7 linked regions of the Oryzias latipes genome follow. The main gene of each other region encodes a partner of the protein of the gene in region 2 in a complex. Links are inferred from orthologs where the notes say so. Each region holds a gene or a part of one and is shown on either strand. Other genes may lie near its edges.

What was found.
Region 1: the proteins of prothrombin (region 2) and serpine2 are in contact, whole or in part, in a crystal structure (PDB 4DY7), measured with the Homo sapiens proteins. The link is inferred for Oryzias latipes from reciprocal best matches to the Homo sapiens genes F2 and SERPINE2. Residues at the interface, in NP_000497.1 of Homo sapiens: His406, Tyr410, Pro412, Trp413, Trp455, Arg456, Glu457, Asn458, Leu459, Glu509, Thr510, Ile542, Asp562, Ala563, Cys564, Glu565, Trp590, Gly591, Glu592, Gly593, Cys594; in NP_006207.1 of Homo sapiens: Val225, Arg288, Ser355, Ala356, Thr358, Thr359, Ala360, Leu362, Ile363, Ala364, Arg365, Ser366, Ser367.
Region 3: the proteins of prothrombin (region 2) and serpinc1 are in contact, whole or in part, in a crystal structure (PDB 1TB6), measured with the Homo sapiens proteins. The link is inferred for Oryzias latipes from reciprocal best matches to the Homo sapiens genes F2 and SERPINC1. Residues at the interface, in NP_000497.1 of Homo sapiens: Leu389, Leu390, Cys391, His406, Cys407, Tyr410, Pro412, Trp413, Asp414, Lys415, Trp455, Arg456, Glu457, Asn458, Leu459, Asn506, Thr510, Trp511, Thr512, Ala513, Asn514, Val515, Gln519, Arg541, Ile542, Asp562, Ala563, Cys564, Glu565, Gly566; in NP_000479.1 of Homo sapiens: Lys258, Glu264, Asn265, Arg267, Tyr285, Glu287, Gly288, Lys289, Glu345, Met347, His351, Ala419, Val420, Val421, Ile422, Ala423, Gly424, Arg425, Ser426, Leu427, Asn428, Pro429, Asn430, Arg431, Val432, Lys435.
Region 4: the proteins of prothrombin (region 2) and proteinase-activated receptor 4 are in contact, whole or in part, in a crystal structure (PDB 2PV9), measured with the Mus musculus proteins. The link is inferred for Oryzias latipes from reciprocal best matches to the Homo sapiens genes F2 and F2RL3. Residues at the interface, in NP_034298.1 of Mus musculus: Glu385, Leu386, Leu387, Cys388, His403, Tyr407, Trp410, Asp411, Arg428, Arg453, Glu454, Asn455, Leu456, Trp501, Gly502, Asn503, Trp508, Thr510, Gln516, Arg538, Ile539, Asp559, Ala560, Cys561, Glu562, Gly563, Asp564, Val585, Ser586, Trp587; in NP_032001.2 of Mus musculus: Asp54, Lys55, Pro56, Asn57, Pro58, Arg59, Gly60, Tyr61, Pro62, Gly63, Lys64, Cys66, Asn68, Asp69, Ser70.
Region 5: the proteins of prothrombin (region 2) and proteinase-activated receptor 3 are in contact, whole or in part, in a crystal structure (PDB 2PUX), measured with the Mus musculus proteins. The link is inferred for Oryzias latipes from reciprocal best matches to the Homo sapiens genes F2 and F2RL2. Residues at the interface, in NP_034298.1 of Mus musculus: Phe379, Gln384, Glu385, Leu386, Leu420, Arg422, Arg428, Thr429, Arg430, Tyr431, Arg433, Lys437, Ile438, Ser439, Met440, Lys467, Pro470; in NP_034300.3 of Mus musculus: Thr46, Phe47, Glu48, Glu49, Phe50, Pro51, Asp54, Ile55, Glu56.
Region 6: the proteins of prothrombin (region 2) and serpind1 are in contact, whole or in part, in a crystal structure (PDB 1JMO), measured with the Homo sapiens proteins. The link is inferred for Oryzias latipes from reciprocal best matches to the Homo sapiens genes F2 and SERPIND1. Residues at the interface, in NP_000497.1 of Homo sapiens: Lys384, Ser385, Pro386, Gln387, Leu389, Leu390, Cys391, His406, Cys407, Tyr410, Pro412, Trp413, Asp414, Lys415, Leu423, Arg425, Ser430, Thr432, Arg433, Tyr434, Lys440, Ile441, Ser442, Met443, Asn458, Leu459, Lys470, Trp511, Ala513, Asn514; in NP_000176.2 of Homo sapiens: Glu75, Asp76, Asp77, Asp78, Tyr79, Leu80, Leu82, Ile85, Phe86, Asp89, Asp91, Val305, Glu306, Met307, Thr308, His309, Gln327, Asp343, His361, Lys362, Arg388, Thr457, Val458, Gly459, Phe460, Met461, Pro462, Leu463, Ser464, Thr465.
Region 7: the proteins of prothrombin (region 2) and fgg are in contact, whole or in part, in a crystal structure (PDB 2HWL), measured with the Homo sapiens proteins. The link is inferred for Oryzias latipes from reciprocal best matches to the Homo sapiens genes F2 and FGG. Residues at the interface, in NP_000497.1 of Homo sapiens: His450, Pro451, Arg452, Arg461, Arg486, Ala489, Ala490, Leu493, Ile530, Val531, Glu532, Arg533, Cys536, Asp546, Asn547, Met548, Phe549, Cys550, His605, Phe607, Arg608, Leu609, Lys610, Lys611, Trp612, Lys615; in NP_068656.2 of Homo sapiens: Pro439, Ala440, Glu441, Thr442, Glu443, Tyr444, Asp445, Ser446, Leu447, Tyr448.

What each region holds. Positions count from the first base shown.
Region 1 is NC_019871.2:18,674,625-18,679,010, reverse strand, and holds the start of serpine2 (glia-derived nexin), read left to right. Parts: upstream 1-1,328; 5' UTR 1,329-1,586; coding exon 1,587-1,590; intron 1,591-2,266; coding exon 2,267-2,545; intron 2,546-2,695; coding exon 2,696-2,923; intron 2,924-4,386. UniProt on the Homo sapiens protein: Serine protease inhibitor with activity toward thrombin, trypsin, and urokinase. Promotes neurite extension by inhibiting thrombin. Binds heparin.
Region 2 is NC_019860.2:10,379,790-10,383,654, forward strand, and holds part of prothrombin, read right to left. Parts: exon of another isoform or gene 3,857-3,865; 5' UTR 3,792-3,856; coding exon 3,719-3,791; intron 2,538-3,718; coding exon 2,457-2,537; intron 2,189-2,456; coding exon 2,109-2,188; intron 2,035-2,108; coding exon 2,010-2,034; intron 1,767-2,009; coding exon 1,701-1,766; intron 1,609-1,700; coding exon 1,500-1,608; intron 1-1,499. UniProt on the Homo sapiens protein: Thrombin, which cleaves bonds after Arg and Lys, converts fibrinogen to fibrin and activates factors V, VII, VIII, XIII, and, in complex with thrombomodulin, protein C. Functions in blood homeostasis, inflammation and wound healing.
Region 3 is NC_019862.2:24,576,075-24,579,223, forward strand, and holds the end of serpinc1 (antithrombin-III), read left to right. Parts: intron 1-137; coding exon 138-312; intron 313-964; coding exon 965-1,029; intron 1,030-2,117; coding exon 2,118-2,294; 3' UTR 2,295-2,485; downstream 2,486-3,149. UniProt on the Homo sapiens protein: Most important serine protease inhibitor in plasma that regulates the blood coagulation cascade. AT-III inhibits thrombin, matriptase-3/TMPRSS7, as well as factors IXa, Xa and XIa. Its inhibitory activity is greatly enhanced in the presence of heparin.
Region 4 is NC_019868.2:3,735,795-3,740,102, forward strand, and holds the start of proteinase-activated receptor 4, read right to left. Parts: upstream 2,984-4,308; 5' UTR 2,723-2,983; coding exon 2,617-2,722; intron 1,240-2,616; coding exon 194-1,239; 3' UTR 1-193. UniProt on the Homo sapiens protein: Receptor for activated thrombin or trypsin coupled to G proteins that stimulate phosphoinositide hydrolysis. May play a role in platelets activation.
Region 5 is NC_019870.2:3,362,029-3,364,932, forward strand, and holds part of proteinase-activated receptor 3, read right to left. Parts: intron 2,768-2,904; coding exon 1,722-2,767; 3' UTR 1-1,721. UniProt on the Homo sapiens protein: Receptor for activated thrombin coupled to G proteins that stimulate phosphoinositide hydrolysis.
Region 6 is NC_019867.2:6,064,107-6,068,528, reverse strand, and holds the start of serpind1 (heparin cofactor 2), read right to left. Parts: upstream 3,117-4,422; 5' UTR 3,016-3,116; intron 2,863-3,015; 5' UTR 2,862-2,862; coding exon 2,599-2,861; intron 2,426-2,598; coding exon 1,782-2,425; intron 1,709-1,781; coding exon 1,560-1,708; intron 1,462-1,559; coding exon 1,337-1,461; intron 473-1,336; coding exon 328-472; intron 251-327; coding exon 59-250; 3' UTR 1-58. Other genes in the region: phosphatidylinositol 4-kinase alpha, read left to right, coding at 3,383-3,491, 4,098-4,234, 4,341-4,422. UniProt on the Homo sapiens protein: Thrombin inhibitor activated by the glycosaminoglycans, heparin or dermatan sulfate. In the presence of the latter, HC-II becomes the predominant thrombin inhibitor in place of antithrombin III (AT-III).
Region 7 is NC_019859.2:20,796,538-20,800,961, reverse strand, and holds the start of fgg (fibrinogen gamma chain), read right to left. Parts: upstream 2,906-4,424; 5' UTR 2,834-2,905; coding exon 2,771-2,833; intron 2,696-2,770; coding exon 2,648-2,695; intron 2,567-2,647; coding exon 2,380-2,566; intron 2,244-2,379; coding exon 2,159-2,243; intron 1,692-2,158; coding exon 1,561-1,691; intron 1,298-1,560; coding exon 1,164-1,297; intron 1,078-1,163; coding exon 893-1,077; intron 735-892; coding exon 457-734; intron 365-456; coding exon 186-364; 3' UTR 1-185. UniProt on the Homo sapiens protein: Together with fibrinogen alpha (FGA) and fibrinogen beta (FGB), polymerizes to form an insoluble fibrin matrix. Has a major function in hemostasis as one of the primary components of blood clots.

The sequences.
Region 1 (4,386 bases), on a different chromosome or scaffold from region 2:
TGGGCATTGGTTAGATTTCTAAAGGCAGTCTGATTAGTATGGAAGAGCAGAAATAACTTGAGTTGGAGGTTTTGTGCAAAGGTTGGCCTGCTGCAGGCAGCAGCTGAATGCATAAATGTAACATCGGCTTTTCCTGGTTTTGCCTGAATCAATAAAGCGTTTAAAATGATTTTAGTCCATGAAGTTTGTCCCAAACACAAAAGATTATAGATTTTTCTGGCTTTATCCGGCTTAACATTTGCTTCAATGCAGTGTCTCTTTAGTTGCATTCTTTATAGTCCGTTCATCGCTTGACTAAAACACAATAAAAAAAACTTCAGGTTTCAACATGTTCCCATCTTTTAAAATGAAGGTTATCAGTAGGTTCAATTAAGTTGTGACCACAAAGTCATACTAAAATGATTTAACTGAACTGAAATGGGAAATGGCAAAAACGTTATGCTTTATCCCTTGTGCTATCCTAGGCACTTTAATGTTGGGAGTTGGGTCTTGTAGACCCACTAGACAGTGCGCTGAACCTTTTTTCTTCAATGATTTGTGATCTTCACTGGTGTCCATGGATTACATGAAATCTTTCCACCTTTATCCACCTTTGTCATGGTAGGGAGAACACGTCAATGTAAGGGTGGGGTCATAGGATAGCACAAGGGTTAATGAATAACACATTTTTAAGTATTTCTTCACTATAACTGACAGTTGTGAAATTGTTTTTCAATAAAAGACACTTTTAAAGTTTGCACTTAGGTTTTTGGAAAATCAATTAGGTGTAGAAACTGTCACAAAATTAGTGTAGAAATAGGAGACAAACCCTCCTCTCCCTGAAATAATCCCATGGAGCTGCCTCACTTATTGTGTGGCTCACCAGGTGTTTACAGGTGTTCATATCTGTCAACACAACTTAGTTTGTTAGCAAATTCTATTTTGAGGAAAGAATTAGAGGTAGAATGTACATAAAAACAACTCATTTTTAAATTTCACTTTTAAATTATAGTAAATTGCTGTTTTGTTTTAATTTGTAGGGGAAATCAGGAAGTATTTCGACCACTGCAAATGCTTGAAAGCGTGCTACGCATCACGTTATGACCTGAGTATTGCTCTCAAACAGGTAACTGCACCTGAACTTCATGACAAACACTATACCGGAAGTAACTCTGAGTGTCATCCCAAAACTATAACCTTAGTCATCCATAATTTCTGAATATAGCGCAAAATGTCATGAAATAAAACGCGTATTAGAAACATATCTAGAGCCCACGTATACGTTTGTATATAAAGTCAAACACATTAGGATTAACTGTTTATTGTGTTTTATTTTGAAATTCCAACGGATGTGAGTGCTTCGCCGTTTGGCTAGTTACTGCACAAGAGAGACGCGCTTCGCGTTCGGTTGTTTGGCTGGAAGGCGGAGCCCGGAGCGATAAAGTCTTCCGAGAAACAACGGCGAAGTCAGAAATAAAACTGACTGTCGCCGGGATCAGAACCGTCAACCCCCAGCCCGGACCAGGTTAGCTGCCTACTGGATAGGAAGGCGGACGGATACGGTCACCGTTTACCTGAGTGATAAAGTCGGAGCAACTCTCCTCGTGATGGGTAAGCGCAGCCGTTTCATCTGCAGGGACGTGATGCAAACGATCTCGACGGCCCGTAAAAACGGACTCTATTGGGGTTAAACTAGTGACTCCTGACATTTGACCCCCCTCCCCTCAGAAAAAAAGGCAAATATCTGATGGGGTGGGGGTCTTGTGAGTAAATAGCCGTCTCATTGACGCGGCGCGTGAAAGCTTTGGGAAGTGGGGCCGCACCCCGCTGTGGGACTGACCATTCCGGGGGGGGGGGGGGGGGGGGTGTCACCATGTGCACCAATTGGGGGGAGAAAAAAAATGTTTCAGCAATTACTTATACATAAAAACTTTATTGAGACGTTCCTTGAAGACATTTCCTCTTTTGAAAGCGTGTTGCGTTAGTGGGTCCTCCTCCTGAGGATACATAGAACTACGGCGCAAATTCCTGCTGCTCAACCGAGAGACCGAACGTAGATCCCTGTCGGTTGGTGCAGCAGCTTGTTGTTTCCCGGGATGACAGTTAAGTCGGCAGTTAGTCCAAAGTAGTGAACAGCAGTGTTTTCTGTTCAGGGGGGGTGGTATGAACCCCCACAGACAGGAATGTCCAGGTAACCTTCATCGGTCATTTCAATGGTTTCACGGAGATGTTTTTGGGGGGGTTGGAGGGGCTGCCTCTGACCTGTTGTTGTTGGCTCCTCCCTCAGGTGCAGTGGGGATCATGAAGAAAGGCGCATCACTAGTTTGCCTTTGTGCACTGATGAACCTGTTTGTATATAAAAAAGTGCTGTGCCAAGCTCCATCATATGGAGAACGAGGTTCTGATCTTGGCATCCAGGTGTTTCAGGAAGTAGTCCGCTCCAGACCCTTGGAGAACGTGGTGCTTTCGCCCCATGGAGTGGCTTCCGTCTTAGGCATGCTGCTTTCTGGAGCCCACGGGGAAACACGGAGGCAGATCATCAAAGGGCTGCGGTACAAGAAAAATGGTAAGAGATGGATCTTCTGTGGAAGAAGAAGATCAGGAGATGCAGTTGAACAAACACTGACCCTAAGTTATTTCTCACAGTTGTTACTGTTTTTAAATGAAAGATTATTTAAGGAGGTAAAGATCAATCTAATCCTTTTTTTCTGCTCAGGACCCTACAAGATGTTGAGGAGGTTGCACAAAACTCTTACTTCCAAGTCCAACCAAGACACGGTTCTGATTGCCAACGGTATCTTCAGCCAGAAGGGGTTCCCCATGGAGAAGACTTTTGTGAGCACAAACAAAGCCAACTTTCAGTGTGAAAGCAGGATTCTTGACTTCAGCAACCCCCACGCTGCTGCTGACGAGATCAACAAATGGGTCAAAAACATGACCAAAGGTAGGAATGTGACATTCAAAAGGTTTTGAAGAACGTAGAAAACCGCTGAAGAGGGTTCAGATCCCAACAGAACTGACTGAAACCCATTAAATATTATGCTACATTCAAACCGGGCTCAAGCTAACATCTCCAATGAAAACTCAATGTAAACGTGCGTACAGTGGGGCAAAAAGGTATTTAGTCAGCCACCAAATTGTGAGGTTTCCCATTTAAAAATGTGAGAGAAGCCTGTTATTATCATCAAAGGTAAACCTCAACTATGAGAGACAAAATGAGAAGAAGAAAAAATCAAAAAATTATATTGTCTGATTATTTATTATTATTATTATTTTTTTTTTTAAGGAATCTATTTGTAAATTATGATGAAAAATCAGTGTTTGGTCACCCACAAACAAGCATTATTTCTGGCTCTCACAGACCTGTAACTTCTTCTGAAAGAGGATCCTCTGTCCTCCACTCGTTACCTGTATTAATGCCACCTGTTTGAACTTGTTATGAATTTATAAGACACCTGTCCACAACCTCAGACAGTCACACTCAAACTCCACTATGGCCAAGACCAAAGAGCTGTCTAAGGACACCAGAAACCAAATTATTGATCTGCATCAGGCTGGGAAGACTGAATCTGCAATAGGTAAGCAGCTTGGTTTGAAGAAATCTACTGTGGGAGCAATTATTAGGAAATGGAAGACATACAAGACCACTGATAATCTCTCTCCATCTGGGGCTCCCTGCAAGATCTCACCCCAAGGGGTCAGGATGATCACAAGAACGGTGAGCAAATATCCCAGAACCACACTGGGGAACCTAGTGAGTGACCAGCAGAGAGCTGGGACCAAAATAACAAAGGCTACCATCAGTAACACTACGCTGCCAGGGGCTCAAGTCCTGCAGCGCCAGACGTGTCCCCCTGCTAAATCCAGTATATGTGCAGGCCCGTCTAAAGTTTGCTAAAGAGCAGTTGGATGATCCAGAAGAGGTTTGGGAGAAAGTCCTATGATCAGATGAAACCAAAATAGAACTTTGGAGGAGAAAGAATGCTGAGTTACATCCAAAGAACACCATACCTACTGTAAAGCACGGGGGTGAAAACATCATGCTTTGGTGCTGTTTTTCAGCAAAAGATCAGGACGACTGATCTGTGTTAAGAATGAATGGGGCCATGTATTATCAGATTTTGAGTAAAAACCTCCTTCCATCAGCAAGGGCCTTGAAGATGAAACGTGGCTGGGTCTTTCAGCATGACAACGATCCCAAAGACAAAGCCCGGGTAACGAAGGAGTGGCTTGGTAAGAAGCATTTCAAGGTCTAGGAGTGAACCAGCCAGTCTCTAGATCTCAACCCCATAGAGAATCTTTGGAGGGAGTTGAAAGTCTGTGTTGCCCAGCGACAGCCCCAAAACATCACTGCTCTAGAGGAGATCTGCATGGAGGAATGGGCCAAAATACCAGCAACGGCTTGTG
Region 2 (3,865 bases):
ATTTTCTATAAAAAACACCTTTACCACCGGATTCAAACGTAAACTTGTCGTTGGAATTTTCATCGATCGTCTCGAAACTTTTTGGGCAGCAATGGAAAGCTACTGTGGAAAAAATGTTCGACTTAGAAGTTGTAGATTTTAAACGGCGTGCCCGTGGCGAGCTAGCAAAGTGGCGCACTGTTATAACTCCTTTTTCATTCATCTTCTTTACCGTTTATTCCCTTTCGGGGTCACGGGGTTGCCGGAGCCTATCCCGCCCACTTGGACGTAGGCAAGGGATGCCCTGGACTGGTCGCCAGTCTGTCGCAGGGTAGAATGTCCTCAATCACACATCCATTCGCTCTCACACTCACGGTCAATTTAAAGTTGCCAATCAACCTATGAAGCATGTTTTTGGACGGTGGGAGGAAGCCGGAGATCCCGGAGAAAACCCACGCATGCACAGGGAGAACATGTAAACTCCACACAGAAAGGGACCCCATTGATGTTGTGTTTTCATGTCCCCCAGCTGGGACTTGAACTGGGGGCCTTCTTGCTGTGAGGCAAGAGCGCTAACCCCTGCGCCACCGTGCAACAACTCCTATGTTTTTCAATGGAATAACAGTGAAATTTTAATAAATGCGTCAATGTCAGGAACTAAACATAATGAAAAACACTGGATATGCACATACAAGGAATGTGGGCGTGGTTATCACAAAACCAGTGTTGCTAAGGACAACAAAAAGTTGACTTTTTCCGATTCGTCTCAAACTGATGTCGGTCTGTTCGTCATCTCCAGGTGACCCAAAAATAAAATGGTTGCTATGGAGATAAAATCAACAGAAAAGCCGCCATTTTGAAAAAGGTGTTTTTTTTATCAACTTAATGACATTTAGCTCTCACCAATGGAGCAGTGTGTTTTTCTGAGTCAGTGGATGATGCTAATTGTTAAGCTAGCACTTTCAGCCACATTAGCATAGCTAGCATAATTAGCATTTTAGGTAATGTGTTTTTCTGAGACAGTTGATTATGCTGATCGTAATGCTAGCACTTTTAGCCACATTAGCTAGCTAGCATAGTTAGCATAATTAGCATTTTAAGGCAATGTGTTTTTTTGAGACAGTTGATTATGCTGATCTCAAAGCTAGTACTTTTAGCCACATTAGCATAATGTGGTTAACATTATTAGCACATGCAGCTTTGACTAGCCTTGATCAAAGTTGGGCGGTGAAGGTGGACGGTGAAGGTGGGCGGTGAAGGTGGTGATGGCGGCGGTGGTGCGTAGAGTTGGGCGTGGAAGGCTGTTGCGTCTGCAGGCCATACAACGCCGCTTGCGGCTTTAATTTAGTTTAATTTTTGCTCATGTTTGTTGTAAATATTGTAGAATGTTAACTATCCTTTGGTAAATTGATAGAAAATGGAGTTCATTACAAAAACACGTTTCATTTAACAAAGTCATGTTCAAATTCTAAGACTTTTACCGGATAAGTTCAAGTTAGGACGATGAACTGGTTAGTTACCTGAAGATAGGATGTGGAAAGCTGTGGCTCCAGTGTTGACAGACCCTGCCTGATTTTGTGATATGGATGTTCCCGTTGTAGTTATGTCCATTGCCAGAGACACAATGGCCTGAACACACACATATGCACAAAGACTCACAATCTGACAATTTTGACACAGAGGAACTTAAGACTGTTTTAATCTGGTTTATGTAGAATTACCTTCCACACAGTCTCTGATGAGGCCGATGGTCTTTGTTGTTCTATGTTTCACTGTTCCTTCACAGTCTGGACAACAGGCAAACACACAAGTGTGTGCAACAGTTATATGTTTGTGGACCAATCTGTTCTGAACTTTGTTCATATTTGCTTTAAAGCTTGCAGCTGAATAAACTCTGCTTTGCTGCACAAACAACCTTTAATGGAATCGAAACTGTTTACGCAAAAATAGAACTAGTTTGATTTATTTTTTATCTTCCAAGGAGTATTTTACCAGTTTGGATTTCCTTTATGTGTCTGCTTGGTACTCACCCAGGTACTTCGCCCAAAAGATTTCCTGAAAGAACAGTCTGTGTCAGTATAGTGACCTGTCTGAGTTCAGCATTAAGGTATTGAACAATGAAGGCGTACGGTTTTATCCGTCTGCTCAAACACTTCTCTGGCCTCTTCGTGGTCACAGATCTCCTCAAAGCACTCCCTCTCCAGGTTTCCTGAGAGCAGATAATCAACATTAGCAGACACCAGCATGGCCTCCTGACTCAATCATTTTTCCTCCACCTTTAGAAAACACCGATACATTTTTCTTTATGTCGATTTTTCTCTCTTATTTATAATATAGTAAGAGTAGGGACAGTCTTATTAATGGTGAATCTATATGACAAAAGGAAGCCATAACACATCTAACCCCCTAAAAGCTAGACCCAGTTACAGACAGGAAGTTACTCCTTATTTCAATATATTGAGCAGGAAGTGGCTCACCTGGTTTCAACTCCTCAAACATCTGATTGGCTCGTGGGTTCCGGACCAGCACCTGCGATGCCTGCTGACCCTTCAGAAAAACTGAAACCATAAAAGAGATCTTTTTTTTTAAATTGGAGATGACAAACCTTTAGAAATGCCAAGGTTTCAAGCTCTTCCAGCATCTTAGTGAGATTGCAATCAATTATACATCTATCAAAATTATTTGCATTTGAGGAGATATTACACTGCAGATATCCAGAAACAGTGTTTTTATTAGTAAAAGGTTTAATTTTCTGTTTGACACACTTTCTTTGCTTGCTTTAAACATTTTACTTTTAAGTCCAGAAATGTTTTTTTTATCACTTTAGCCAAAGTTCAAGGATTTTTTTAAATTTAGAATTTAAGGAAAGTTACTATAGGGACATAGAATTAAAACAAAATACAGTACTGGATTCAAGGGCAAACTAGTTAGTTTCACGTGTACACAAGAAACCAGGACAATTTTTATACTTCTTTGTTCCTTTAGGCGCTCCGTAGAAAGTAATAATGAACTATTAAAACTTAGAAAAGGCAGCTTAATTTCAACTAATTTTTTTTTTTACTTCTATGTCCCTTCAGAGGATCCGTAGTGTGGAGCCACCAGTACTTTTTTTTTTTTTACTTCTTTGTCCCTTTAAGGGCTCCGTAGTATAGAGCCACTATTGTTTTCTTTTTCTTTTTTTTTTGTTCTTTGTTCCTTTATGGACTCCGTAGTAAGTAAAGATGAATTACTATTAAAAACAAATATTTTCCATAATTAATCAAACTTAGAAAAGGCAGCTTAATTTCAACTAATCGTTTTTACTTCTATGTCCCTTCAGAAGATCCGTAGTGTGGAGCCACCAGTACTTTTTCTTTCTTTTTTTTTACTTCTTTGTCCGTTTAGGGACTCCCAAAAAAGTAAAGATGAATAATAAGAAAAACATGTATTAACATAGGTGATCAAGCTTAGAAAAGGCAGTTTTATTTCAAGGTATAAAATTGCGAAACAGCAACACAGTAAAGCAAAGATATAAACAGCTTTGTAGACAACAGGTTAACAGGTTAGAAACAGTTCCTGCCTTGTTCAATAGGTTTTAGCTGCTTACTTGCTAAAAAGATAAAAAATTTACAGAAATATATGATTCAGACAATAAAGCACCTAAAACTGTGTTTTAAGTTTTTCAGTTTCACCATTATATTTGCTCCTAAGAGCTGCAGCTCTCTGCAGAACCTCAAAGAACAGAGCAAAGGTTTAGTACCGTGGTTTGCTGCACAGTTGTGCAGAATCAGCAGCAGCACAACGGCGCTGGTGCGAAGGGTCGGTTCCACCATGATCCGAAAGCTCAAAAGCAGATCCACCAGCGTTCAGTGTCTCCGTGCGCTCAGTTCTGAGCTCCCTGTGGGGA
Region 3 (3,149 bases), on a different chromosome or scaffold from region 2:
AATATATAACTATAAATACAAATAAACCCAAGCAGTTTTTTTTCATTTGATGATCATTTATCATGGACGGTTGTCATTTTCGATAACCGTCCACGTTCTAGGCCTCATGCTACAGAGGTGTTCCTGTGTGTATTTAGGTGGAGGAGAGCCTGAATTTGAAGAAACTGAACAACTGGTTGGATCAGATGACGGAGACCTCCGTCTCCGTGTCCATCCCTCGCTTCAAGGTGGAGGACAAGTTCAACCTGAAGGAGGTGCTGCAGGAGATTGGACTGACCGACCTGTTCAGCGCTGAAAACGCCAGCCTTCCAGGTGCTTTATCCTGAGGCACATCTTCACTGCCAGTCATAAGTCTTTTTTGAGATCAGAGAAAATAAATTCATTTTTAAAGAAAATTTGGCTTTTTTTATTACAAAAAGTTTGCTAAACACATTTAAAATAAAACACTAGTTTTACTAAGCTTGTCAACTCGGTTCAAGTCATGGCTGGCTCTCAGTATGACTACATTTTCCCACAGTGTTTGTGTGTTATTGCAATTTGCTCTGTTGGAGCATCAACCAAGTTTTAGTTATTGTGGATTTGAGCTCAGAAATATGAACTCTGTGATCAAAACCCTCATCACATTTTACTTGGTTAATGGTACACTACAAAACCTGAGTCTTCAATCTTTCAATTTTCTGTCTTGCAAGAAAAATTATTAAGAACATTTTCAATAGCAAAATAATCTTAGTTTATCTTAAAATAAGAATTCTTGGTACGGCCATTTGTCTTACCCTGTTGGCAGAGTTTTTTTTTTGCATATTTAAGAAAAATCTGCCAATGGGGTAAACTTATTTTACTTTCCTCTAGGGGGCATGTTTCTGTTTTTGCAGTGCAATTGTAAAAAGGAAAATCTTTTAATTTTTACATTTGCCTCCAAAGAGAATATCAATCTGTGCTTCAGTGAAGTCTGTTTGTGCTTCAGGGATCCTGGAGGACGACTCTGATGGGCTCTTCATCTCCGATGCCTACCACAAAGCCTTTTTGGAGGTCAGTCAGATGAATTTTATGTAAAAAACAGCAAATAAGGAACAAAAATAAGGAAAAACTACCTAAAAAGCATGTTTTGTTATAAATAAATGAGCATACGATTCTTCAAACACACCTCTTCAGAAAAGATAAATGACTGACATCACAAATCAAGTCAGCCAAGTTTGTTTGTTTTATGCTAAATTAGCTTTAAAATGCTAACCTGACAGATAAAGGTTTGAAACAGCACAACAAGGATGGAAAAACACAATGTTTCATCTGAAATCTATTAAAAAACTTAACGGATTAAAAATTCAGAATGTGTGAGAGTCTTGATGAAAATCTAAACATTTGTGCATTCAAACTATGTTAGAATATCTTGGCATAATTATATTAAAGTCATACTCAAATCTGCTTTTGATGTATTTTCAAAGCATGCAGTGGTCTTTTAATTATGATTATGTCTTTTTCCAGGAGATAGTTTCTGCAGAGCAGCATGAGTTCATTAGAAATTGAGAAATTAATTGTGGTTGGAACTATTGGCACGGAGTAAGCCCGACCACACTTCCCATTATCCATGTGTTACACTCAACCCCTGTTCTAGCTTACAGCCCCTCTCAACTCCAACCTAGCATTATTGGTGCAACAAAAATGGCGAGCAATATAGCATCAACTTTACTGTTGAGCTCTGATGCCACTCTCTTAATTTAGTAGTAATTCCTAAGAATTTACATTTTTTTTCTTCCAAAACAAACCTCAAAGATTGACTTTAAAAGTAGGTTTGAGTTTAAGCTACCTCAGCTTAGTCCGAGTAATATTGTGAAAATCCTCAAGGTTGATGAATTTCTTTTTATTCTGAAAGATTTGAGTTTGATTTCCAAAAGATTACTAATATTTTCTGGGATTTTTAGCAGTTCAATATTAAACACTAGTGCACGCCCCCGAAGTTTAATGATTCTGACAGGGTTTAAACACTAGTGCACGCCCCCGAAGTTTAATGATTCTGACAGGGTTTATGGATGACTTTAGGACAAACTTAGGAATTCCACCACCGTGCCGTCATGATGTGTAACAGAGCAGCAGTGATGGAGGTTATCATCTGCTTTCAGGTCAATGAAGAGGGCAGTGAGGCGGCGGCTGCCACCGTCGTGCTTGCTGTCGGACGCTCCTTCAACCCTTACCGCGAGGTCTTTCAGGCCGATCGGCCTTTCCTGCTCTTCATCAGAGAGTCGACCATCAACACGCTGCTGTTCAGCGGCCGGGTGGTCAACCCCTGTGATCAGTAAATCCCACTAACAGACACTTCAGCCAGCATCACTACGTGATCACCTGTAAAAAGGTACAGGACAGCTGAAAAGAAGTTTAAAAAAAAAAGAAAATATAGAGTGTAAAGGAATTCTGTGCAAGATGATACAGAGAAAGATTGAAGATACATCTAGAAAGTAGAAAAGCTGAATAAAAGCTGAAATAACATTGAGTACTTTGTATGATGTCGGTTAAATTGGTCACTATACCAAAACAGTTGAAGGAATACGCACTTCTGGTAATCTTTAAGTTGGGTTTATTATGATCATTAAGAGTTATGCAATAACAACATAGTCTGGTTTGATTTGATTGATTTTAAATAAAATTGTTGTTAAACACACAAATTCTGAAGAAGAAAAAAGTTTTTATTATTAAAAGTTTTTGTAGTGTTTTAATGGGAAATATATGAGTGTAAACAATGAACACAACTTGTTTTATTTGAACATTTTTTCTGCCAATTACTGTATATGCAAAGCAGCTAGAACTTAGCATGCCAAAAAATTTGACACAGTGGTGCAGTGGTTAGCCCTCTGAAATGTCCTGGTTCAAATCCCAGCTAGGACCTTTCTTGCATGTTCTCCTCATGCATGTGTGGGTTTTCTCCGGGCACTCCAGCTTCCTCCAAAAAAACACGCTTCATTGGTTGATGTGTGTATCTCAAAAATGTCCCTAAGTGTGAATGTGTGTTGTTTGTGGTCCTGGTGACCTGTTCAGGCTGGACCCCGCCTTCACCAAACAGTGGCTGGGTTAGCGCCAGCAACTCTGTGACTCTGAAGGAGATTCAATGGGTTCTAAATATGGATGGACTGGTTCTTCTCTCATTAAGTTAATAATCA
Region 4 (4,308 bases), on a different chromosome or scaffold from region 2:
CAGCATTACCAAACGTGGTTCATCTGAAGCAGTGGTCCCCATCCCTGGCCCTGAAGGCCGTCCTACACTCTTGGGGTGTGTTTGACCTGGGTAGCAGTGGAAATGTAAGATGCTCTCAGATTAATGGAGCTTTTTAACATCTTCACAGACTCTTGGGTTAGAGGCTGTTGTCCCATATGAGGATACAGACCATCTAAGTAACAGTTTGTCGCCTGGTCATGGACACAAGAGTGACATTAGTCCTTTGACTCGTTGATGAGGAAATGTTGTTCCCCTTAGAGGAGGGCTGGCCTTGATGGTCACCGGAGCAGCACAGAGAACGTTTGAGCTTCTGCCTGAACTCCGTGGACACAAAGTAGAAAATGAAGGGGTCAAGGGAGCTGTTGAAAGTGCTAACAGCTAAGCTAATCATGTAGGGAATGTAGAAGTCCTCGCCGTCCCCATCCACCCAGATGTCGGCGTAAGTTAGCAGGAGCAGGACATTACTGGGCAAAAGACACACGATGAAAACGAGCAACACTAAAACAGTCACTCTGATGGCGTGGGCGTAGCGCTTCCCTTCAGCCAGCAGGGTGCGCAGGACTGCACTGTGGCAGAAGAGGATGATGGCAAAAGGCAGAAGGAAGCAGCAGGCAAAGAGGGTGCTGAAGTATGGCAGGAAGTAATTCTCATGTTCCTCCTCAGGGAGAGCGTCGTGGCACGTCGTGATCTGCAGCTTGTCCAACACGTAGGTTTGTCGTGACATTAGAAGCGGCAGCATGGCAGCCAGAACCACCGTCCACACTGCCACCGTCATGTACACTGACATCCGCTGTGTGCGCAGAGTCAGTGCCTTAAATGGATGAACCAGAGCCACATATCTGTCTATGGCCACAAGTGCCAAGAACCAAGCAGAGCCGTACATGTTGCCGTAAAACACTGCCATCACCACGCGACAGAAGGGCTCCCCCAGCTCCCAGTGGTTACCTCGGAAATGGTAAACGATCCGAAATGGCAAAACCAGAAGAAGAAGGCAGTCTGCAATGGTCAGGTTGATGAGAAAAAACATGGACGGGAGGCGGTTGGTTCTGAACACCAGAACCCACAGAACCATGATGTTGGAGGGGAGACCGACACTGAAGGCCAGCAAGTACAAGATAGGCAGGTAGAGGTTTGTTACTGGAGCCTGGATGTCCTTTAGCTGCTTCTCCTTCAGAGTCGTGATGTTACAGGTCACCGTGAGCCGGAAGGTCCGAAGGACTGCAGACAGCAAGACACATAGCATCAGGCTCCTGCTCAGAATCAATATGGGATGGTGCGGAAAAAACTGAGGTTGTTGATAAGCAGAGTGGATTAAGGGACCAATACTTTTCCATTTTATCTCAATTTTCACAGTTACAAACATAAATTCTCTTGCACTTTTGAGTTCTTATTTAGATTAGGGTCATCACAGCACAGATGTTAGGCAGAAGCTTTACATCAGAGCTGCAATTGGACCTAGAATCAAACCAACAACTTTCCAGTTTGTTGAACAACTGGTTGATGGATGGTTGTTGCCCAGGAGATGGAGGTGCTTTTTTCCTGGGTACCCCAGTCACGTGGTGAAGAGACCTTTAGCAAGTTTCTAAAAAACAGTCAGTTCACACCAGACAGTCTGTACCGTCTCTGAGTACGTTTGAGCCCAAAGTTTGGTTGCTTTGTCTTCTGTTTTATGATTGAAAGTGTTTAGTGAACCGTGCTGATACTGGTCTACAAAGGTCGTCCAGAGCACGTTTCAGAAGACTCTGGTGTCATACAGATTCGCTGTGGTTGCTACACATGCCAGGGCACAATTCTTCAAGGCTATGACATGAGTGTTCTAGCAAATTCTGTTTCTTCTTAAAGGCTTAAAATGACGTTGCATAAAACCACAAAAGAAAACAAACTTCAGACAACTTTGACCTCTAAAACAGATCATAGTGTAAAATTTAAAAAAGACTTTAAGGTCTAATAAAGTTTGTTCTTCAACTTTATTAACTTCTTGGTGAAAGGAAAGGCAACTGAAAAGAAGGCATAGGGCCACTACCTGTATGAAACAGCTTCATCTGCACTCAAATAGAAAATCTTTGACCAACATCCTTTACAGCGGTGGGTGACGTGGGGTTTGGCTTCTTAGCCAGGGACACGAGCTCTAGTCTGGTATTTCAAATGTTGGCCAACTGGTGAAAAATTTACTCAAGTGTTATCATCTTGATTCTCCAAATCAATTATCATCATTGGTAGAATAAAGTATTACATTTAATGAAGGGGGAAGTAAAGGTAAGAAACTAAAAGTGATTGGGAAAACCCTCTGTAATCAAACTAAAAAGCCTTAGAATCATACCAGATGTGGGGGAAGCGGATCATGGCTTTAAGCTAACTTGGTTAATGTCTGTTTCTTGCATAAAGATGCTGTAAACAAACCACACCCACTGTCAGGGGTTCAGAGCGTTCAAATATTTTTACTGTCTGTGCTTCTGGCAAATGTTTGAGTATGTCAATGTTTAGTTTTGATGAAAATAATCATCTTCAGTGACGCAACTATATTTCAGATGAAACAATTCTGGCATGAGACAGATGTGAGACCCTGATATCTTCAAAACAAAAAGAAAGACTTACTGAGAGATGTGTTGGGACATTGGTCTGCAGAGTGAGAAGGTGGTAAGGTGCCGAGGACAGACGACAGTCCCATCGCAAAGAACAGGGCCCCAGCCAGCAGTTTCATACTTCCTCTGAACGTCTTTCTCTAGCTGCACAGCTCTTTGGTAGACTCTTATCAACATCAGCGGCTTCCTGTTCTCTCAGAAACTCGAGTCTATTTGGGGGTATGGGGCTGGTTCTGCTGTAAGTGAAGTGAGAGGCTGATGTTAGAATTTAATGCGGACACACCTCCACCATAACGACCTCAGGGTGTGTGTGTGTGTGCTCCTGTGAGGACCCCTGTTTGAACTCACTGCGGACCTGCTGTTTGCGTCTCTGACCTTTTTTATTTTTTTTAGACCTAAACTGGTGTTTGGATGAGAACTAATCAGCTGGATCAGTGTTTTTTGTTCTGCTCGTTCTTGATTGAAACTGCAACCGTGTCCACACATGTTTGTGAGAACTGCTCAGTCCCCCCCCCCCCCCCCGCTCCCCTCATCACACAGGAAACGTGTCCGAACTTCAGACCCCTCCTATGTTCTGTCATCCAACCACAGCTCACTGCTGCAGACAGTCAGGAACGCAGGCTTGTTTGTATTTGCAGATGTTTGGATGAGAGTGGTTGCAGGAACGAGAGCAGCACAGAAGGTTTATAGGAGCAGGACCAAGTAAGGCCAAAGAGCAGTTTTACCTTTAAAGGTTTTACGGTGGAAGAAACTGGTGGATGCACACTCAGTAAAACAGAACCCGACAACTCCTCTGGGGTGCGCTGTAAACAAAGGCTAAATTGATTTTAAAATTAAGAGTACTATGTATTTTTTTTAGTCGTGAAACACCTTCACTACATTTGCTTTGTCCTTTTTTATAATGCCTTTGACCAAATTTCCTGATGCGATGCAGATGATTGTGTTTCTAAGTGGCCACTCTGGAAGAAGTCAATACAGAGAAATCAGATGGGTCTGTTAAAGGTTTTAGGGTACATCAAGTGGTAAGCCAGGTTCAGTTTAGTGTGTGATGCATGAACTCTCATTCAAATGTCCAAGAAATTTACTACAGGTTTGTCAAAAACACTTCTTATATCACTTTCAACACACCTTGTTTTTATTTACACGGTTTCAACATTGTTGCAGATTAAATCCACTTGGAGAAAATGATCTACAATCCATCTTCTTCCACTCATCCAGAACCAGGTCGCAGGAGCAGCAGTCTAAACAAAGATGCCCAGACTTCCTTCTCCCCGGACACTTCCTCCAGCTCCTCTGAGGTGAATGTGCGACATTCCCAGGCCAACCGACAGACGTAGTCTCTCCAACGTGTTCTGGGTCTTCCTCGCGGCCTCCACCCAGTGGGACATGCTCGGAACACCTCCCCAGGCGCCAGAACGCAACCGGACTAGAGACCCGAGCCGCCTCAACTGGCTCCCCTCAATGTGGAGGAGAAGCAGTTCAACTCTGCTCTCTGCGGGTGACCGAGCTTCTCCCCCTGCCTCTAGGGAGCGCCCAGCCACCCTGCGGAGGAAGCTCATTAAGCCGCTTGTATTCAGGACCTCGTTCTTTCGGTCATGACCCAGAGCTCATGACCAAAGGTGAATATCGGGATCAAGATCGACTGATAAATTGAGATCTTTGGTTTCTGGCTCCGCTCTCTTCACCACAACGGACCGGTACAGCG
Region 5 (2,904 bases), on a different chromosome or scaffold from region 2:
CCGACCCCTGCTATAGGGTGTCCACACAAACTACACTCTAATTGAATAATTTTCTCCTTTCCAAAAGTCAGGCTGCACATAAGGAGTTCAAACTTATCAAGTGAACAGCACTTTAGGGGTTGAAAATTTGAAAAATCGGTACGACGTGCCAGCGTCTCACTTACTTCCCCCTATACGTACCCTTGTGTGTCATACAAGTAAGTGTTGGCTACAACCTGTCAACTGGACCATGCGGGCATGAACATTTTCTCTAAGGGTTCACCAAGCAGTCTACAATCCTGATATTACCTGCGGCCACCTTCAAGCCCTGTACAGGTTTGCCTACTTTTTGCCCGCAGAGAGTCCATATGCACCTTATAAGAGCCGTTGTGACTTAACTGGTTTACATTTTCCTAGGCATTTAAAATAGCACAGTTTCATTTAAAGGGCATGTTGTTGTTTCATACTATTTAATTCTTTGAATTTGTGACATGAAAATTAGAATGCTGTCATCTAACTTTTTTGCTCTGCTACCTTAAACTAGTTTAAGCTTTTTCTCTGTAAAATTGGACTTCATTTCGCAGTTGTTTGGTATGTTTTTTGCATCTAATTACATCTGTAAACTTTGTACCATTTCAACCAGTCCCAGTCTTTGATATAAGCGACTTAGGCAGCCGCCTAGTGTGGCAACTGCTGAGGGGCGCTACACCAGCAGGTTGTTACACAACTTGTCTTTTCCCAGGCAATTGAGGTAATTAACGTCCAAATTAGAAAGACACAAACTGTCCGGTGCGCAAAACAGAAAAGAAGAAGAATAGAGACGCAAACAGAGCTAATGGTTTATAATGACGTCCCTGACAACTTTCCAGCATTGAAAGCAAGAAGAGTCAAAATCGGAGTTGTTTCAGTCTCTGCCCAGAAACTTTATAAATGTAAATATATATTTATTGTATAATGCTTTCTGTCTTCAGTGTTCCTAATTAAAAGCTTAATGACTTATTTAATTGTTGCAAATCAGAGCGGATCATCAAAAAGATTTCTTTACGTGGGAAAATTGTGTGCTGCATTTGACATATTCTGTTTTTTAGTTTTTTTTAGTTTTTTTTTTGTGGGTGCAGTTAAACTTCACCTAGGGCTCCTCATTTCCTGCAGCCAGCACTAGTTCCAATAATTTTAATGTTGAGGTGCAAGTAGATGAAGGAAGTGGTTAATATGGTCTTTATTATTTTTTTCCTATATAAGATTTCAGTTATTCTTTTGAGTCCAAAAGGTTTGTGTAGCAAGTTTAGAAAATTCTCAAAGCTGTACTGTAACTTAAAGAATCCTACAAACGTTAAGCCTATTTAACTATTGGCTCCCATTTTGCCCTTTTTTCCAGCTAACTTAGCTTTGACGATATTTGCCATCAACATTCTTTTCAAACTGTTTCATAGATGACACATCAATCCTGTGCTGTGCCGAACAGTGTAATTGTGTAAATCTGTTACTTGGGAAGAAGCCGAATGACATTTTCAGCTCATTTGAGTTTTTCTGAGAGGCAGGGCTGAATATTTCAAGCATAATACTTCTTTTTCCTTTGTCAAAACAGTTACAGTAACAGAATATGTGCATTTTCTATTTTCTCTGAAACATTAACATAGGAGAAAACATAAAAGCTTAAACAACTTCAGCGAATCATCCAGGAACAATAGACTTCCTCTATCTTTGGATTCCATCCCCCTCCACAATAAAGCAACTTCTTCTCAGACAGTAATGCTCATGGACTTGCCTTTGAAAGTCATTATGAAAAGCCGGGAGCCAGTGGAGGTGGACATAAGAACAAAGAGGAAGGGGTCCAGACAAGCGTGGAGACAGCACAAGCACACTGCCATGCTAAAGTACCCGTACAAACCTTCTGATCCATTCAGCTCCAGCTGCAGATAATGGATAAAGTGCAAGATTCCAGTGGGAAGGAAACACACCAGGAAGATGCCAAAAACCAGCGAGCTGGCCTTGATGTACTTTCCCCAGTCTTGGAGGGAGTTCTTGAGCTCAACGATGATCCGAATGTAGCAGAAAATTGAGACCACCAGTGGAGCCAGAAGACCGATGACTGTAAGAACCAGGTTGTAGGAGAGCAGAAAGACGAAGCTGAAGGAGCTGTCGTCGCGGGCGAGCACATCGTGGCAGGAAGTACGGTTCAGCTGCGGGAGCCAGAAGCTCTGCCGAATCAGGAGCTCTGGGATGATGGCTGTTCCAAACACCCCCCACACCCCCAAGCTGACCCAGGTTGTGCACATCCTCTTGGGCAGGCCTTTGTACATGAAGGGGTGCACCACAGCTATGTAGCGCTTGATGCTAATGCAGGCCAACGTCGCGGCAGAACAGTAGAGGTTGCCATAGAAACAGGCAGTGACCACCCGACAGGCTGCCTCTCCCAAAACCCAGTTGTTTCCATGGAGATGGTAGTGAACCTTAAAGGTGAGGGAGAGGAGGAGGAAGAGGTCGGAGACCGCCAGGCTGTAGTAGAGGATGGCGGAGGAGACCTTTCGGATTTTAGTAGCCAGGAAACACAGGATGGCGACATTGGCCGGGACGCCGAAAACAATCACAAATATATAAATGAAGGGGACGACCCGGGTGCTGAGCGGGCCGCTGAGGTACTCCACGGTGCTGTTACTGAGGGACTGCAGAGCTGGAGAGGGGGGGCTTGAAACCACCTGGCTGCTGTTCTTCTCAACGTCTGTCTGAGGGACCAGGTTCCCAAAAAAGGTTCTGGGATTAGGAAATGCCTTACCGCTCTTCTCATCTGTAAAAAAAAGAATAAGATAAAAATATTTACTTCCAGACAATGTTTCTGTCATGATACGTTCACATCAGGCTCAGAAACGCACATTCAAGCGACCACTTTCACTGAAAAGTCTGTGTAAACGCATGTTTATTCGC
Region 6 (4,422 bases), on a different chromosome or scaffold from region 2:
TTTAGGTGCCTGATCTACTAACAAATAGATGGACTTTTTTGAAGAAGCGTTGAAGTCTTCAGCTCTGTGAAGGATTGACGACCCTGCCTATGAACACAAGACAGTCAGTGCGGTGCTCATAGATGAGGAAGAGGAAGGGATGGTCCACGACAAAGCGGATCTGAGAGGACAGAGGCATGAAGCCCACTTGGGTCAGAGAGGCAGCCTCGGTTCCCTCCTCATTGACTGTGATGGTTCCCTGGTGCTTCAGCTGCACACAGAGATCAGAGTTAATGTGTGTGATAGATGTTATTCCTCAAAGGGACCATTGCTTCAGTCTGGACTCACCCAACTCATGACGACTCTTTCTGACGTCATTCCAGAGAAGTCCCCACTCCCCTGGAACATGTCGGAGAGGCCCATCTCCTTAAGGTTTTGAATCAAGTCGTAGCTTTGCTCCAGTGTGAAACGAGGTAACAAAACCTCACGGGTCCTAAGAAAGAGAAAAAATGGGGAGACCTGGTTATAAATCATATAAAATCCAAAAAGTTGACAAAATCCACCCAAAAAAAATTTGTGTTTTTAACATGTCCTCCATCATTTTTCTGATGATGGACGACATGTATTAAGTAAATTTAGTTCACAATTGCATTTTTGAGTATTTCTTTGTTTAAATCGTAAATCAGGAGCAGACGAAAAAAAGAAATAGAGCTTAAAAATTTCGTTGTGCAGGCCAAAAGCTCCTTATCGCTCCATTCTGATGCATCCACTTACAGACAAATAGATCCACGTACGTCTTTATTTTTCTTGTCTGAGCTGGAATCTGGCTCAAAACTGTACAGCTAGATAGCTGTGACATTACTGGCCTTTTTTTGTTGCACCAGTAATGTAAGGTTGGGGTTGTGAGGGGCTTTAAACTAGCTGTTTGTGGTTGACGGCAAGGGGGGTTGTTGTTGTTCCGCTTCAACAGTCCTGCTCACAACTCAAAGGCGAATTTCTGATAAACTACTGCAGGTCTGTAGAAACTATGTCCTAGAAAAAGACACAAGCTCTTAACATTTTGGTTAAAAACGGCATAATCCTTATGTAAAGACCACTGGGAACACTTCTAAAATAGATCAAAAGATGATGGGACTTTAAAAATGTTTCATACTAACCATTAATGTGTGACGTTACTGTGAAGGAGGCTAAGCTGGTAACTAATTGATGAAATAATGTTAAAGGTCAAAAAAATCTACCGCTATTCAAATTCCTATTTTTTTCCTGAGAGGTCTTAGCGCCGGAATGAGCATCAAACTGTCCTTTTATAAATGATGAAACCCCAAATACTTGAATTCGTCAATAATATGAAGCCAACCTGTTTGTCATGTTTTTGAGCCACTTGTTGACAACAGTTGGTGAGATCTGCCTCTCCAGGGTTCTCATCCCGCTGATCTTCCTTGGTAAGGCGATGAGCATGCTGATGTTTCCTGAGTATGGGAGCTGCGCGGAAGAACGGTTACATCTTCATTAAGTCGAGTCACCAAGCGGTTTGTGGATTAGAGAGCACCTCCACCAAACAAGAGCTGCCGAGCACCCACCTGTAGGATGTCACAGTCCAGTTCATGGTCGGCAGCAGCCAGATAGTTCCCCTTATTGGCCATCATCGGCACACGTACGCTTGTTTTTTCAGTAATTCGGAAATTGCGATAGTAAGTCATCTCCTTTGGGAATTTCTGCTCCCACGTCCCTGTTTAGCCAAAGAATTGACAGATCACTTGCGTTAAGAATTCACACATCTTAGGAGTTTTCTTTCCACTTACCTTTAAAGTACAGGTAGTTTAGCAGCATCAGCACCATATTTGGATCCACACTCTTCAGTGGATCTTTGATCAGCCCCTTGGTAAGTTTCTGTATGCGGCTGTTGGCCTTCTCCAGGAATGCTGGATCTCTGAAGTTGACTGACTGCGGCTCAGCAAAATAATAATTCTTGCTCTGTGTACGGAAGCCGTCTTTCATGGAGACTTCTTTCTTAATGTAGACGTCATTTACAGAGCGTAACGTGTAGCCAAAGTTCCTCCTGAAGAGCCTGTGGGTGAGCTTCCTGAACAGCTTATGCACCGTCGTGTTATCATAGTGATGGCTAGCGTTGACAAAATCTGCAAATCCCAGAGCTTCGTAGATCTGCTCATGTGTCCCCGGCCCGGCGCCTAAAGACATCATCCCCATGGCGATGGAGATCCCCGCAGGTGCTAGCAGGATGTTGTCGCTCTGGTTTACGTGGTTCCGGAGACTCCGGTAAAGGTTGAAGCCGAAATGGGCATTCACGGTGTTGAGGCGCTGGAGACGAGATCGGCCGTGGAAAAGCCTCAGGAGCCGAGCTCTTCGGATCTTTGGGTCAGAGGCTTCGGCAAAGATGTCAATGTCAGGGGGTGGTGTTGAAATCTCATCAATCTCATCGCCCTCGCTGAAAAACAATAAAAAGTTAAAATTTAGGTATCAGAGTTTCCTGCTTTCTGAATCATCAAGGTTACTTGAAAAAGGCTGAAAATGGTCTGTTGTAAACCTACTCTGACTTTCATTAAGTGCAAAGCATTTGAGTTATTTTCCTAACATTGGATTTTGAATAATCTTACTTACATGTAATCATCACTGCCAGCAGCAAGAATTTTATCAAAATCGATGTAATCTTCATCCTCAAAGCCATCAAAAACTAACTCATTAGTGACTGTATTTGCTTTGTGGAACTCCATGGGAATGGCCTCCACATCCTCTGTCCCAGCCGGCTGTAAGCCTCTAGGGTTTGGATCTGGACCGCTGAAGTGAGTGCCGAGGTCTTTGATGCCGGCCGAGCATGGAGCAGCCAGCAGAGAGGCCGCAGCAATGACCATAATGACCCACATCCTGAAAGCAGAAGAAATGTTTTTTGAAGTGTAGCTTATTGTCGGGTCCCTTCAGCAAAAGGATCATTAGATTAAATGAATTTTGATGAAGCTGTAGGTGGAAGACGATCTCTTTTGTTCCTCAAAAATGCTGTTATTTTGTTAAATCTCTTACCTTTGCTGTGAACTTGTGGGAAGTGCTGCGTTGCCTCTGTTTGTAGGACTAATAACACAAATCTGGACTTTGATTCAGGGTTCTCCTAAACAAATATACAAGATCAAACAGTTCAAAAAGTCTACTGACAGACTAAAAGCTTTAACTCTTCACAATTCCAAACTGTTGAAGTACTTTATTATTTAGATGTAATATTTTAATTTAAAAAATTCAACGTGTCTTGTGTTTGACATAAGAGGGTGTCTTGCAAACATTTTTACTCAAAGCACCCCCTTAAAACAAAAAAAACCTTCACATTTAGGTTTGTGTACTTAAATGATTAACTCTTCCGCATTTTTCTGACCTTTTCTGTTTTTGTGACTTGTAGTTGACAAGACGGCTTCAGCCAATCAAGGAGGCCAAGCCCCGCCTTCAAAAGCTCTTCAGGGACTTTTGGTTGTATTCTGTGGTCATGGGTTTTGCTGCAGAGGGATCAGGTGAGCGATGTTTTCATGATGTGTTCCATTAAAAAATGTTCTGGTTCAGTGACCTTTGGTTCCCTAAAACACAAACACAAAAGGTGAGAAAAAAGAGAATGTAAATTCTCTTTGAAAATGTTATTGGACTGATTGAAATGACTCCATCCAGTGAAATTAAGAGAGACAGAGGTCTATTTTGTCGGGGGGTCTGAACATACAACTCCAAGATCCAGTGCCCTGGAAATTTCCCAGAAGTCTCTGCAAAAAAACAGAGTGCTTTGATGCTCACTAGTTTGGCAAATATAGACAACACTGCATTCCGTTTAAACTATTTTTATTTGCAATAAGTGTAAATTTAAGTTTTCTTGATCAGAACACAGTGGATTTATAAACAGTCTTTGTAAAATGTTTATATTTAGTACATTTTTACTTTAGCAAAGGGGTAACATCATATTTTAAAGAAAGTACTGAGCATGTGTCCGAATTGCTTTATAATGCAGGGACTATATTACACTGGATAGTCCTGTGCTGTATAGTTTTTTAGGCGTTAAGTAGTGATAAGGCTTTCGATCAGAGTCAGAGTTTTAGATGATCCATTTCTTCTGTATTCTTTTTTTTATTCAGGACTTTGGCCTGAAGAGTGGTATGAAGGTGTGTGTGAGATTGCCACCAAGTCTCCTCTTCTCACTTTTCCGAGTGGAGAACCACTTCGCTCTGAACTACAGTACAATTCGGCGTTGAAAAATGACACTGTGACACCGGTAATTTTGAAATCCTGGACAGGATTTCTATATATTTTTTTGCATTAGTTAAGGTTTCAGTAAGATTCCAGTGCTAACTGTATTATTATTACTTTACTGCCCTCAGGCGGAGCTGAGTGAACTTCGGGCAACCATTAGCAATCTTATCGACCCCACTCCAGAAGGATCTGCCCTCATTAACAAGCTAG
Region 7 (4,424 bases), on a different chromosome or scaffold from region 2:
AAGAATAAAAAAAAACAAGACTTGGTAAGGAAAATACATGTATTTAGTGGTCAAAACAACATTGAAGAAACCGAAAATTCTTTTTGGCAAAAATCTCCACAATGGTCAACAACACAGTGACACCGTGATAGTTGGTGGCTGAATACTTGATCTGAGGAGGCCTAAGTGCAGAACACTTAACGGTTTCACAGTCCTCCAAACGTTTTCACGCCAGCTTGCTGTTCTCCTCCTGACATGATGCGGTTGAGGGGAATGATCTTCATGGTCGTCTCCTTCAGCGAGTACCAGCGGTCGTGCCACGTCAGCCAAGTGATGCCATTGTCATAGCCGTGTTCACCCGCATCTTTTTCCGTGTATCTTCCACCTGGATGACAGAAACGCAGATTCCAAATTTTAATGTTTTTAACCTATTTATACATTTAAACATGGAAGTAACCACTTTTAGAGTCATTGTACCCTGGTAGTATTTTCCAGTCAAATGAGCGGCGTGACATCTGTTCATCCACCACCCGGAGCCGTCCTGCTGGGCACAGTTGCCATCATATTTGTCGTTGTCCTTGTCGAAGGTGCTAAACTGCATGCCATTGTGTGACGTGTAGAACTTGTCGCTGGGGTCTTCTCCTAGGTCAACACCATCGAAAGCATCTCCTGCGTCGCCACCAAAGTAGTAGCCATACATCAAGCGGTAATTGTCTTCTGCTGAGCCTACCCTAAACATGGCGTAGTCAGCGTGCCTGGAGTAAGAGACAGCAAGAAGTGAGACGTTTGAACCAGCTTAGATCTCGTTATTTACATTTTCCAGCCACATCAATGAGAGGTCATGTTTGTTTTATCATGTCCCTCTCTGCTCCTGTTACACAATCTGTCATAGTGCGTGGGTGTTCGTTTGTACTTTTTGTTGCCCTCCCAGTCAACAAGTTCTATCCTGAGGACAACCGGGATGGTGGTGCTGATAGTTAGTTGATGGATCTTTTCATTTCCGAGCCAAAACTCGGTGGTGTCATCCGGAGACAGATAGCCAAAGCCCTCCTTGTACTGGACCCAGTCTCTCCTGAAGTCCACACTGCCGTCACGTCTCTGCGGACAAAAAGGAAAATGGACTGGGATAAAAAAACTGTTTTGAGTGTGGGAAAAACAATAGCAGGATTAAAATGGGTACCTACTCTTTGGAGTACCGTAAAACCCCGCCCAACACTGTCAATCTCACAATAAACCAAGAACTGCTCCTTAGCTTTGGCTGGCTTCACATAGTAGAGGCCGCTGGTGGTGGCACCTTTATTTGCAACATCCTGGCAATCTGAGAACAACAAACAAACAATCATAAATGAAAAAAAATATGCATTCGTGGGACGTGACCATTTGTGTCTATGCCTAAAAGAATACCCCAAATTTGAAGTAATGGAAGATTATTTCTAAGACAAAACAAAAAAGCTTCGATGTAGCTTATTGATTTTGGCAGAAAACTAAACCCTGAACAAGGACACAAAGTGCTCACAACAGGCCCGATTGAGAAACTCCTTATGAAATAGGAACGGCCAGAGGGTCACGGGGAGTGTTTACCTGCTCCTGTGATAGGCTGGATTTCAACGGAGTCTTTGCAGGGCTCGCTGCATCTCTGCTGAAGCTGCATGGACAGCTGCTTCAGGTCTGCCATGCTTCTCTCATTGGAGGAGATCACATTCTGGAGTTCACTGGTGAGACAGGGACACCCAAGACGACTCTGAGTCATCATTTCCTTATGCTAAAAAAGATTATTGATGAAAAATGTTTGGGTTGCAAATCCGTCTGTGGGATGTTTGGTGGCGATTGGGAGAAAAAGTAGTTGAAACATCAATAGAAAAATAGAAAGTGGTGCAATTTTTGAACGTTCTGTGAGGAAGTAAAAAAGACAAGCGTTTCCTCCTCTTTAGCTTTGACTACATGATATCCCATAACAGGATGATGGAAGCCTTTTTCTTAGGAAAACAATTCAACTCTCTACAACATAAGCAGCTCATGTTAGCATAACTGTAGATATGATCCTCAAAAACACCAAAAATAAAAAAAACTTAAAACAAAATAGAATGATACTGAAGTGCTGAGACTACTAAAAGTGTCTATGAGATCAGAACTGACGCCTAAAATCCTGCAGTTAGACGTAAACCTCTGTTTTACTCACAATATTTGCTGTTCTTGTGCAATAATTGTCTTGTCAAATCGAAGAACGTCTTCCAGCATACTTGACGACCTTTTATAGAGAGGCTCTGAAATGAAAACAACCACGTATGCATTTATTTTAAGCTCGACATGTAACATTTGAAAGAATTTATGAAACCAACCAATGAAGAGAGAAACAACATTTTTCTATCTTTTTTGGAAAAAAAACCACATGGTGTTCACCTGGCTGGGAGCTCTTCTGGGCTGAAGCAGCTGAATCTCGCATGTATGTAATTTTTTCTTCTGCTCCTTCAGTCAAGTTAGCTATCATGTCCAGGTCTTTTTGCATTTCCGCCAAAATATCACTCACTTCTGGTAAATACTTGAAGAAGTAATCAGCAACTCCACATGTTGTGGGACAGTATTTTCCCTAGAATCAAAAAAGGCAAGTTGATTAAAAAGGAAAAAAAGATGTATTTTGATGAACACATGACACAAGTTTGGTACTCACAAAGCCATCATTTGTGGTGCATGTTCCCAGATTATCTCCTCTTACTTGCTATAAAACAGGACAGATTAGGTGAGTTGATTTTTTTTTTTCTCACAACAAAAAAATTGCAATCATTGAACTCACTGCAGATGCCAGGGAGAAGAGTAATAGAAATCCTCCCAAAGTGGCAAGAAGTTTTGACTGCATGTTGTTCTGGCTTCCTGTGTTTTTGGAGAGTGAAGGGGTGCCTGGACTGGGGGAATATATATCTGTACGTGGCCACGGGTCAGACTTTGGTAAAGGTTCATGGGTAAACATTCCACTCACTTTGTTGTCACAGATCTGTGACTCAGAGTGTAACAGGGGTTGCTTCAAAGTTGTGACGTTCTCAAAGTTTACCAACTAGAACACAGCTCCAACCTTCCGGCACAAGCTATATTTGTGCAAATCTGACTGCAGGTGAGGATGACTCAGCATCTTCTGGAACATGGCTCGTCTGCAGTCGGGAAATCGAAAAAGAATCACAACATGACTCATCACATCAAGGCAAATCATTTGTTTTCACTTGCTTGAGTCCATCTGTCATTACACGAGGAAGCATTCTGCAGGGTCTACATGCACACAGTATGTGCTGCCAAAAGTATGAAAACAAGATCAAATTCATAAAACTGGAACGTTTTGTTAAAGTTTTATGCTTCATATTGTTTCATGCCATTTCATTTAAATTTTGGTGTCTTAAATGAATGTCAATCAAAAGCATTTTTTGGGTTATTTATACTTTATCAATACATATGCAGATTGTTTAGCAATTCTACAAGTATTCATGCTATATAAGAACAAAGAGGAAGCTTTAAAAATAATTAAATTAGTCTATCCCAGGAATCATTACACAACACATGTCAGGTATCAAAATGGAGTTCCTATTGATTGTCTTCAGAAAAAGTTATTGTATTAATCGAGACTTGATAATAATATGAAAATTACTGCTCAATTTTTGCAACAGAAACTCATTTCTAAAGCACCTCGAAGGAATTGTGGTCCTGCTTGTAATAAGGAAAACAGCAGAGACACCTTAAAACTGATCTTCATGCATGGCTAGTTTGCTACGCTCACACTGACCTTGGCGACGTGCGTTCGTTCAAGCGACCACTTCCTATAAAAAGTCTATGTGAATGCACGCTTGAAGCTATCACGTTCATGCATAGCTTTGCATGTTTTTAAATCCGATTTTGGGCTCTATGTACAAACGCTCTGCCTTTGAACGCGCATTGAAAGCTAAACCAGTTGAACTTTGAACCAATCAGAGACTCGGATTTGGTAGTGAATTATGGGTAGTGTCCTTTTTAACCCACGGAAGTGCCAACCATTTGAAAATTAATTATGAAGGAGGAGAAATTAATAACTGTGGTTTGTGCCCGGCTGGAATTCTATAACAGCAAGTCTATCATATATCAGAATAGTTATGTGAAAGAAAAAGCTTGGAGCAAGATTCACCAGATTTGCACTGCTTTGACATTTTGCTGCAAGCCTCTTTCAGCTATGAGTACTACTTGCACAAGTATCGGGTAGCAACAGTCAAGTGTGAACACTGTATGCTAAAATCGCGTTCAAGAACCCGTGCTTAGCATGTTCTTTAGCACATTTTGCATTACTTGGCAAATACTATCACAACAAGTTGTAATACATCCCGATAACCTTTCCCTCTGTGACCTGCTTGACCTTGGGGTTTTTGAACATGACTTGGAAGCAAATTTGACAGACACAGGTAACTTTTTGGGTGGAGGTAACTATTAAAACA